Oryzias latipes: one gene and its partner. The protein of the gene in region 1 binds, or shares a complex with, the protein of each later gene. Links are inferred from orthologs where the notes say so. Each region holds a gene or a part of one and is shown on either strand. Other genes may lie near its edges. The genes, in order: dffb and dffa.

Region 1 (4,297 bases):
ACGGGATTTTGGCTTCTTGGAGCCACTTCCTGTTTGGAACGCCAGGGGGGTGGAGTCACCCACTCTAGTCCTCTCAAACAGCCAATGGTCACGGCGTCAGGACCTGGTGTCTTCTCTTCGCATCCAAGACAATGAAGCTACTTCAAGAAGAGAAGCTGGGTCCAGACGCCGCGTCGGTTTGGCTTTGGAAGAGCGGCAGAGGTTCTCGGGTTCCACGATGCAGTTTTTCCAAATCGGCCTGAAGATCAAACCTGGACGACACGTCAGGTGATCCAACGGGGCAGAGACCTGCTGTACAAGTCTGATTCACCAAAAGTTCGGCAGCTTTTCCTCATGAATGTGTGAGACGCCAGCGCAGCTACTAATCCTGAAGGAGCTTCTTCACGCGTGACCTTGATATAACGTTTGTACTTTTCTATACATTTCCATCTGCAGATGATCAGTAGATGCGTTGGATTTTTAGCAGGTTCAATGATTGCACTAAACACAACATGGCATGGTTTGTAAAAACGGATCATTCTGTGAAATCCTGTACATACTTTACTGCCTTATTTATGCAGAATGCTTTGATCTTTTAAGTTTAGAGTCTATGATTGTATTTGTGCCAAAATGTTGGGGAAATAAAACCTTCCTGATTGTGAAGCTTTGTGGGAAACGCTGCACTGATTGAGGGAAGAGAACGGTTCTCCGTCTAAAGAACTCGCCTCTTCTTCACCTGGACCTTCTTCTTCACTCCCCCTGCGTGGCTGGAGGCCCTCACCGCCATGCTGGCGTCGCATGAAAGGTTGTGACCTCCTTTCTTGTGACAAACGATGTGAACCAACTTCAGGTTCTGTCTGGTGAACAGCAGGCCGTAGAAATAGTCCAGGTTGACCGCTGAGCTCTGGTGAGTCTCTAGGAGCTCCAGCAGCGTGGGAATGACGGTCCTCTTCTTCTCAATCCTGAGACGACGTGAAAAGATGGAGAAGATGAGCGTGGAGGTGTGGCATCGACCAAAAGGCTGCAGACCCACCTGTGGTCCAGGTTCCAGGTGCTGAAGATGATCCTGCTCTCCCTGCTGCTGTAGGGGTTGATGGAGTGGAGCTGCTGGCACGTCCTCTGGTCAAACGGTCCCTGAAGGAGGACAGGATCAGCTCCAGAGCTACAGGCAGAACCTCTGCTGACACTCCTCACCTGGCAGGTGAACCATCCCTGCTGCGTGCAGAGACGGCGCCGTTCCTCTGCGCTCCTGTCGAAGTAGCTGCCGTTATAACCGTCACCTTTCAGCATTTCTACCAGGAGCTTGAAGGCTCTGGAATATTCCTCTCTGACTTTGGCTTTGTTTATGCTTTTGGAGGCCAGATCCACCTTCAAACAGGAAGAAAGGCTTCAGGACCGTGGACCCGGCGGACCCGGGTTCTGATCCGGAGACTCACCTCCTTCAGGTAGCCTCGTATCCTGCTGGCACAGTTGTACTTCATGTAGGCCGACTTGGTTTTAAATCGAGAATCAACTCCTGAATGGAGACAAAAACGAGTTTGGAAAACTTCCCCTGTAGAACCTTAGAATGTCCGCTGAAGGATGTGGTGCCAGAAAGTCGGTACCGCTAAGGGCGTCACTGTGCACGCCGTCTGCGCGTGTTCAATTCCCCGTTGGAGAACTTGGTTTCCACATTGGAAAACTGACATAAATACTGAGGTAGCTTTTACTTAGATTCTACAAAAGGTAGCGTGGACTTAGTGGAGGTTTGTGAGCAGCTTTGGTTCCATTTCACATCTTTGTGAAAGTTACCAGATAGACAAGGTCCCCAAAACATGGAGGAATCTCCATGAAACGTTCGCCGTTGCAGACCCGAGTCTGGCAACAACGTAAAATGTAAATACTGTATGATAAACTGCATTGGGTAGATGTAAAGCAGGTAATAACATAAAGGTGACGAAACACTGCAGGATCCGTTTAATAATGTCCTGTGACACATTGATGGTGTTTAGAGCACAGATAGGGAAGATGTGGTATTGAAAAAGACAAACCTGTGATTCCAACGTTTCCCATTGTTTTCTAGCCGCAAAAACAAATCAGCAAGACGTAAAATATTAATAACTTGCTTAATTTGAGATCTACTTGATTTATTTCTGCGTTTGGAATTGGAAGCTCTATTGTTTGTGGTCACCAACTTTGGACCCTAGAAATGTGTGGACCCACAGAAAGTTCTTGGGAAACATCCCAGCCACATCTCGTACCGCTGAACCAGTCCTGGTCCTCCTGCCTGCTCTCCAGCTCGGACCGGTCCTCCAGGTTCTGCAGCAGGTCGGCGAGGATCTTCCGTCTCTTGAAGGACTCCTCCTCGCAGAGAAGCCATTTCGCAGCCTGGATGAGGCCCTCAGCATGTCGGTCTGTCTGCAGAAGCTGACTGACGTCGCTAAAAACTACAACACCCACAATGTTAGAACTACAAACCCAAACCGGAGGGGTCTGCAGGTGAAACTGTGGTACCTCCACCCCATGTCTGCTTTCCCGACAGGAGGACCAGCTCGGTGTTCTCCGGCAGAGTCTGGAAGAACTCCTGGGTCACAGTGGTTCCGTCTTCGTACAGACAGAACCGGGCCCCAGACACCGGCAGCTGAAATCCAACGAAGCAAAAGTTACTGCAGTTGGTTCTGGTCGTGGTTCTACCAAATCAGTGACGGCTTTTCTGGTTTGGGGTTTGCATCATCATGATCAGTCAAGTTCTCAAACGAAGCGAGCCGTGTTCCGGAGAACCCTGAGGAGTTCGGGCTCACCTGGAACAAGCGGCAGCTCTTCTGGAGCAGCTCTTCCACGTCTCTGCCTGCTACTCCGTACTTGCTGTTTCCACGCAGACTCCGAACTTTGACGGGTTTGATTCCGAACATGTTTCCTCTTCGAACGTGCCGCTTCCTGGCCGTTCTTCTTCTGCGATCCCCATGCTGCTGCGCCGCGGTGCTGCCCCCTGCTGGCGTGGTCCCCACTGACAGGAAAACACGTTCAAAACAGCTTTCCCGTCTAGAATGGAAATTGTTTATTTCAGGCGATCAAAGCAAAAATAATAAGAAAAAACAACAACAACAGAAATGTAAATCTCTACAGAGATATACTAAAGAAATCTGCGGAGAATCAGTTTAGACAGAGCAATATACGGCTTTTATTTTGAAAGTCCACATCCGCTTATCAGCAAGTTCATTTACATCAGGCCAAGGGTCTCAAACTTGGGTCCCGCGGGCTATTTGCGACCCCCAAGATGATATTTTGCGGCCCCCGCCTTAATATGAAAGTTTAATGTTAATGCAGCCGGCCAATTTGTATGAATGACACTTTTTCTTTGTCGTGCGCGGAGCTGACCAACCAACCAATCACAGTGGGGTAAATGTCTCTTGGGGGCGTGACAGTGACCGGGCTTGAAAGCAGCACCTGACAGCCCCCTCCCCAGACCACACTAAGGAGTTCCTTACTTTCCTTTTTAGAAAGTGTCTATTCGCTCGTTATGTGGGGTTGTGAGATGAAGGCGAATCTGCAGCAAGACTGAAGGAGAACAGGAAGCTGGAGTTGTCTTTAACTTTCAATTTCGTTTTAATATGCCTTACCCCCTATGATCTGTGTTATTATATCTTTTATAATTATTTTAATGTTTTTTAATGTATGTAGACTTTTTTTAATCAATTGGTATTTTAAATTATTTTAATTGATCAGTGAACTACAAAAACCCATCAGGACACATGTCCCACAATGCATTGTTTTGTAGTCATGCGGGCAGCTTACAGTCAGTGCAGTACTAAATTTCCAGCGTGATCTCAAACACGCTTATTGTGCATCTTGGCTGCACATATTTGGTGTCACCAACATGAATTTCCATCCGTTTTGGAGCCGTTCTTTGATCTCAGGTAACCATTGTTCTGATCTCCAGTGAACAGTACCCGTTCTTTTAGGAACCACAGTTTGAATTCAACTATGAAAATATAAGAGTGGCTGACCGGCTGCTCTACAACATCTTGTGACCGGGGTTTAAATGTGCAAAAAGTCATCAGGAAGAAAATCCAAAAACGATTTCTGAATTTTGTTTTTCCTTTACTGATTTGTGGTTTAAAGAGTAAACTTAAAAAAAAACTTTCAACACAGACTCAAAATAGGGAGCACATCCTCTCTGACTAAATTTCAATAATCATCTTCATCCACACTGAGGGTCTCAGCTGTTTGGGAGGAAGTGCTGCCAAGTATCCATCAGTGAGAAGAAGACAAGAGAATCCGTGTTCAGAAGAATCATTGATGGATTTACAGAACTGTAGAATTTAAGTCTTCTTTTGTG
Region 2 (4,549 bases), about 8.8 Mb from region 1:
CACTTGAAAACCCAGAGCTGCTGCTAGTTCGGTGCTAGGAGCATCCACCAAGAGCTGAAAAACAAAAGTTGTTTGTAAAGCAACAGCTGTTTAGAACTGGATACAAATGTGAGGCCATATTTTAGTGTGTGTACTAAGCTCTAGATATAATACACAGCACAGGGAGAGCATAATCTATAAGGTTTATTTTTGTCAACTAACCAAACGTAAACATATATATTTTTTGAATAAACAACAACAAAAGCAAATATGAACTAAACAACAACTCCTAATTCGTTAGGAGTAGAATCTTGTGTGGAGTTCTTTAACTTTAAATGAAATAAAATTAATCTGATCAAAGGTTTTCTTGAGTTGAAGAAACATTTTTATTTTCATAATGTAATTTATAAAAGAGCATTCAAACGTTGGCCTTTGGTGCTTTTGTAGGGTTGGATTATAAAGTAGCTTCACTAATTAACTTATAAGTCCTAAAAAGCAGTTTAAAGGTACGAAAAATGTAGAATATTCTACAATTGTGGCTTGCTTGTGGGAAGCAGAAGCACATAATTGTGTTGTAAAGCTGACATTTTGGAATTCAAAAGTCTGTGGTTAGAAAGATTATTTCTGATTATTTAAGGAGTTTCTTCGCCTCACACGTGTATATGTCTATGCATATTTACCTAAATGTTAAGTACCAGGAAGCGGTGTGCAGAAGACTAAATTGTTTATTTGAATGGGGAGACAGATATAAAGTCCAAAAAAGTTATGGAATTTTGAGTTCTTCAAATTGACTTTGACTAAAACAGAAGACTTTTGGTGCTAAAGCTTAGAAGCATCTAACACCAAAGTGGAGTTTCTTGGCCATAATGACCAATAGTAAGTTTACGGTGGCATAGAAAATATGGTTTTATTTTGTTTTGCAAGTCAGAGAACTTTCAAACCTTATGGTCACTGACAATATTCCAAAAATCTTTATGGAAACCGCTAAACTGTTATTTTTAAGTTTTATTTTCTCATATACCAGGCAGTTTTGTGCTGTTCTATCACTGAAATAAGAACAAGGTAGGACCTGTAAATCGGCCTCCGACATAAGAATGATGCTGGTGAGGTCTTGTTTTAGCTGCTGAGCCAGGTCCAACCAGGGTGCTAAGCTACTGCCGGTGTCAACAGTGTCCATCTCCAGCATAACCGATTCCCTCTGCATCCAAGCGGTGCCACCATCGACTAAAACAAAGAGTACCAAAGCACAACATGTAGAAATCCTGCAGACGGATAATGATCATCAATATGGACTCTGAGATTCTTACTCTTGCGAGCTGGAGACCATGTTTCCTTGTCATGCAATAACATAAACTTTGTATTTGAGGGCAAACACAAGAAGTAGGTTTGATCTTCTACTATTGTCCCGTCATTCTCCAGGACCACTTTGACTGGGTCACCGGGGCTGAAGCCAAGATACTCGGATCCTGGAGCCGGAAGAGAGGACAGGTTACCAACTTAACATGCATCAAGTGAACATACTTCATCCTAAGGTCCACAGAAAAGTCTGACACCTATGGGAAATACCAATGATAAAAACACTACAGTAAGGACAGGCATGTCCAAAGTCCGGCCCGTGGGTCAAATGCAACCAATTTCCACCAGCCGGCAACCTCAATAATATGCGGCCCACAGCACTTTCTAAGAACTACAGTTTCTTGATTGTGATTGGCTAGATTGCGTTATAAACCGTGGACCTATGCAACAACCTGTAGACATGAAGAGATTTATTTGTTTCTGTCATCAAAACCACTTCTGACTAACATAATATTTGTGTTATTTCATTGTTCAATGATAGAAACTGACAAGTTTACAGTTAGCCTTTAACAGTGAATAATTGGATCAAACTGGTTTTTATAGGCCAATTGGATGGCCCTCACACATTTTCACCTCACCAAATCTGGCCCTCTTTGAAAAAGTTTTTGTTCCAGTATAGCTGGAAAAAATAAAAACGTTTTCACTGTTATTAAAAATACATATTGTTAAATAATTCTCAAACAGCTTTCATAACAAATCTGCAAAACACCTTTAATAAGCATTCCGATTAAAAGGAATATATCACAATTATGGAACATGTATAAGTGCACAAAAGAAATATTTAATAATAATAATAATTTTAAAAATGCATAAACTATAATTGCTGGTTTTAGTTGTTGTTGTTGTTGTTTGTGTGTGTGTGTGTGTGTGTGGGGGGGGGGGGGGGGGGTTGTGAAACATTGTTTTGATTCCAGATAATGAATATTTAAAGTATATTCTTGCAAAAAGCAGATCAGGGAAACGCCTGGTGACTCGCATCTCAGGAATGAACAGCAGCAGGCTTTTCATGTTAGCCATGTAGGGGTTAACATTGAACAGATAATATAATTATAGTCAAATACATTCATAAGCATTAAGAATAGCCTAGTATTATCACCGTTGTTTTGCGGCTTAAGCAGTTTTAAATGTGACAGTCAGTGCAGCGGTTGGAGATTTTCTCTCAATTTAGGCGCGAAGCAGATAAATAAAAATAAATGCTTAAAATCTGCGACTGCACGAATACATGAACGGCTTCTTATTTTGATTAAAAGCATATAATGTCAGATAATCTCATACTAGTTCCCACAGTCCTCCTTCTCGGTCCTCCCTTACCTTTTTTCTTCAAGTCATCTAAAGAAGGTGCAGACACTCCGTAGGATTTTTGCCGGGTGAAATTGCACACTTTACACGCCTTTCCATCAGTCATTCTTAAATTTATTCTGAAAGGATAATATTATTCGGTAAAGGAATCTACAGAGAATGGGAAAACCCGCTTTGAGCTCTCAGCCACCTTTACTTCTTCATACACGGAAATAACCGCCGAAGGGCGCTATGAATTGTGGGAATTGTTGTTTATTGTTTGAGAAATGGGGAAAGGTTTAGTCTACCTATCTCCACTCTGTTTCGTAATCCGCTCAACGTATTTCGCAACTGAGAGGGGAAAAATACATCACTGTACTTTGTTCCGATGAAAGTGCATCCCAACTAAACTAAATAAAACGCTTTAAAGAACTTTGATGTTTCGAATGGACGGAACAGGAAAAGCAATCGAGCGTGGATATCCCAGAGAACTATAGGAAGATGGCATCCATCGACCAAGCTGACACGCCAACACAGGTCTCTATACACCAAGCCAGTTAGCATTTGACGTCCGAAAACATTTATGCACCATTTGTTTGAGTTGCTATTTTGTGGCTGGTTTCCGTACACCTTTTAAGCAAACGTTTCACAGCCGAAGAGAGGTAGCTTGTTTGCTAGTTAGCATGCTAACTGGTTGTGTTATTTTAAAGTGGTCTTCGACACATGGGAGGTCAAAGGCATTCTGGGGTTCAGCAACAATTATGCATTTAATAACTGACCACGTGCTACAGCTTTCTATATGGCGGTGAGGGTTTGGGTCTGTCAAAGTCATGGATTATAATTGTTGACACAGGGAAAGGTCACAAAAAAAAAAAAAACCTCGGGATTTTATATTCGACATTTAATGTTCCACGAACATGGATCAAAAATAATTTACTGCAGTTACAATGCTTTATACGGCTAAGCTTCACCATATCTGAAATGCTACCTTTATGTTTTCACAAATTCAGTAATCATGGTGCTCTCCAACTCACTTTAACGTAAAAGTCGATCCCAGAGCAGTCTTAAAAGTTTCCAAAAGTCACCACACTTGTCTGGGTAAAAAATATTCGCACATTCTATCATTGCACTTTAAATTTCACAGTAGTCTTCTATATTAAGTCATTAAACACCAAACAGTGTCATTGGTTCCCTCTAATGCACATTACTATGATTTGGAGCTTTTCAGTGTCCAGGTCCTGTAATAAGCCCAAAATAACTGATAAAGATGTTTTTGTCACATTCTACCTTGTCCTTTTTTATTTATTTTTTTACTTGGAGGGCACAGTATTATTGTGTTTACACCCTATTTGTATACTTTATCTTGTTATCTTCAACCTAAAATGGTCTGTTTGCCCTGAGAAATATGATAAGAAAAACTCCAAACCTTTAACTTTGCCATGAGGATTCATCAAGAGGGGTTGGAAAGCCAGTAACTATTGAAAAAAAAACTGCTTTTTTAGTTAAATTATTAGTAACTGTTGTTGAAATTATGGAATATTTCCTGTATTTTTGATGTCTTCTATTCAGACCTAAACTTTCACTGGTATAATTTTTAAGGATCAAACTCTAGCTTAAATTTGATATGATTAAAAAAAAAAAGAACCCCTTAAATTATGTATTTACTTTTGGGGTCCTTTTTAGGTAAAAGTCTACTGAATGCATTTAGCTGATTGCAGATGGAAACATTTAAAGACGTGATGATTTTTGGAACTGAAGAGAATGCATTTATCCCTTGTGCTATCCTAGGCACTTTAACATTGGGAGTTGGGTCATCTAGACCCCACAAGTCAGTGCACTAAACCTTTTTTCTTCAATGATTTGTGATTTTCACTGGTGTCCATGGATTCCATGAAATCCTCTTCACCTTTATCCACCTTTGTCATGGTAGGGAGAA

Evidence for each region.
Region 2: the proteins of dffb (region 1) and dffa are in contact, whole or in part, in an NMR structure (PDB 1F2R), measured with the Mus musculus proteins. The link is inferred for Oryzias latipes from reciprocal best matches to the Homo sapiens genes DFFB and DFFA. Residues at the interface, in NP_031885.3 of Mus musculus: Cys10, Lys12, Arg14, Ala19, Cys20, Lys21, Phe22, Gly23, Val24, Ala25, Ala26, Arg39; in NP_001020467.1 of Mus musculus: Asp66, Thr68, Ile69, Val70, Asp71, Asp72, Asp74, Tyr75, Trp94, Tyr96, Asp100.

Annotation. Positions count from the first base shown.
Region 1 is NC_019865.2:672,171-676,467, reverse strand, and holds the start of dffb (DNA fragmentation factor subunit beta), read right to left. Parts: upstream 2,934-4,297; 5' UTR 2,871-2,933; coding exon 2,760-2,870; intron 2,600-2,759; coding exon 2,473-2,599; intron 2,406-2,472; coding exon 2,220-2,405; intron 1,496-2,219; coding exon 1,416-1,495; intron 1,348-1,415; coding exon 1,174-1,347; intron 1,114-1,173; coding exon 1,013-1,113; intron 942-1,012; coding exon 692-941; 3' UTR 1-691. UniProt on the Homo sapiens protein: Nuclease that induces DNA fragmentation and chromatin condensation during apoptosis. Degrades naked DNA and induces apoptotic morphology.
Region 2 is NC_019865.2:9,511,830-9,516,378, forward strand, and holds the start of dffa (DNA fragmentation factor subunit alpha), read right to left. Parts: upstream 2,846-4,549; 5' UTR 2,741-2,845; coding exon 2,647-2,740; intron 1,446-2,646; coding exon 1,287-1,445; intron 1,204-1,286; coding exon 1,049-1,203; intron 55-1,048; coding exon 1-54. Other genes in the region: peroxisomal membrane protein PEX14, read left to right, coding at 3,115-3,150. UniProt on the Homo sapiens protein: Inhibitor of the caspase-activated DNase (DFF40).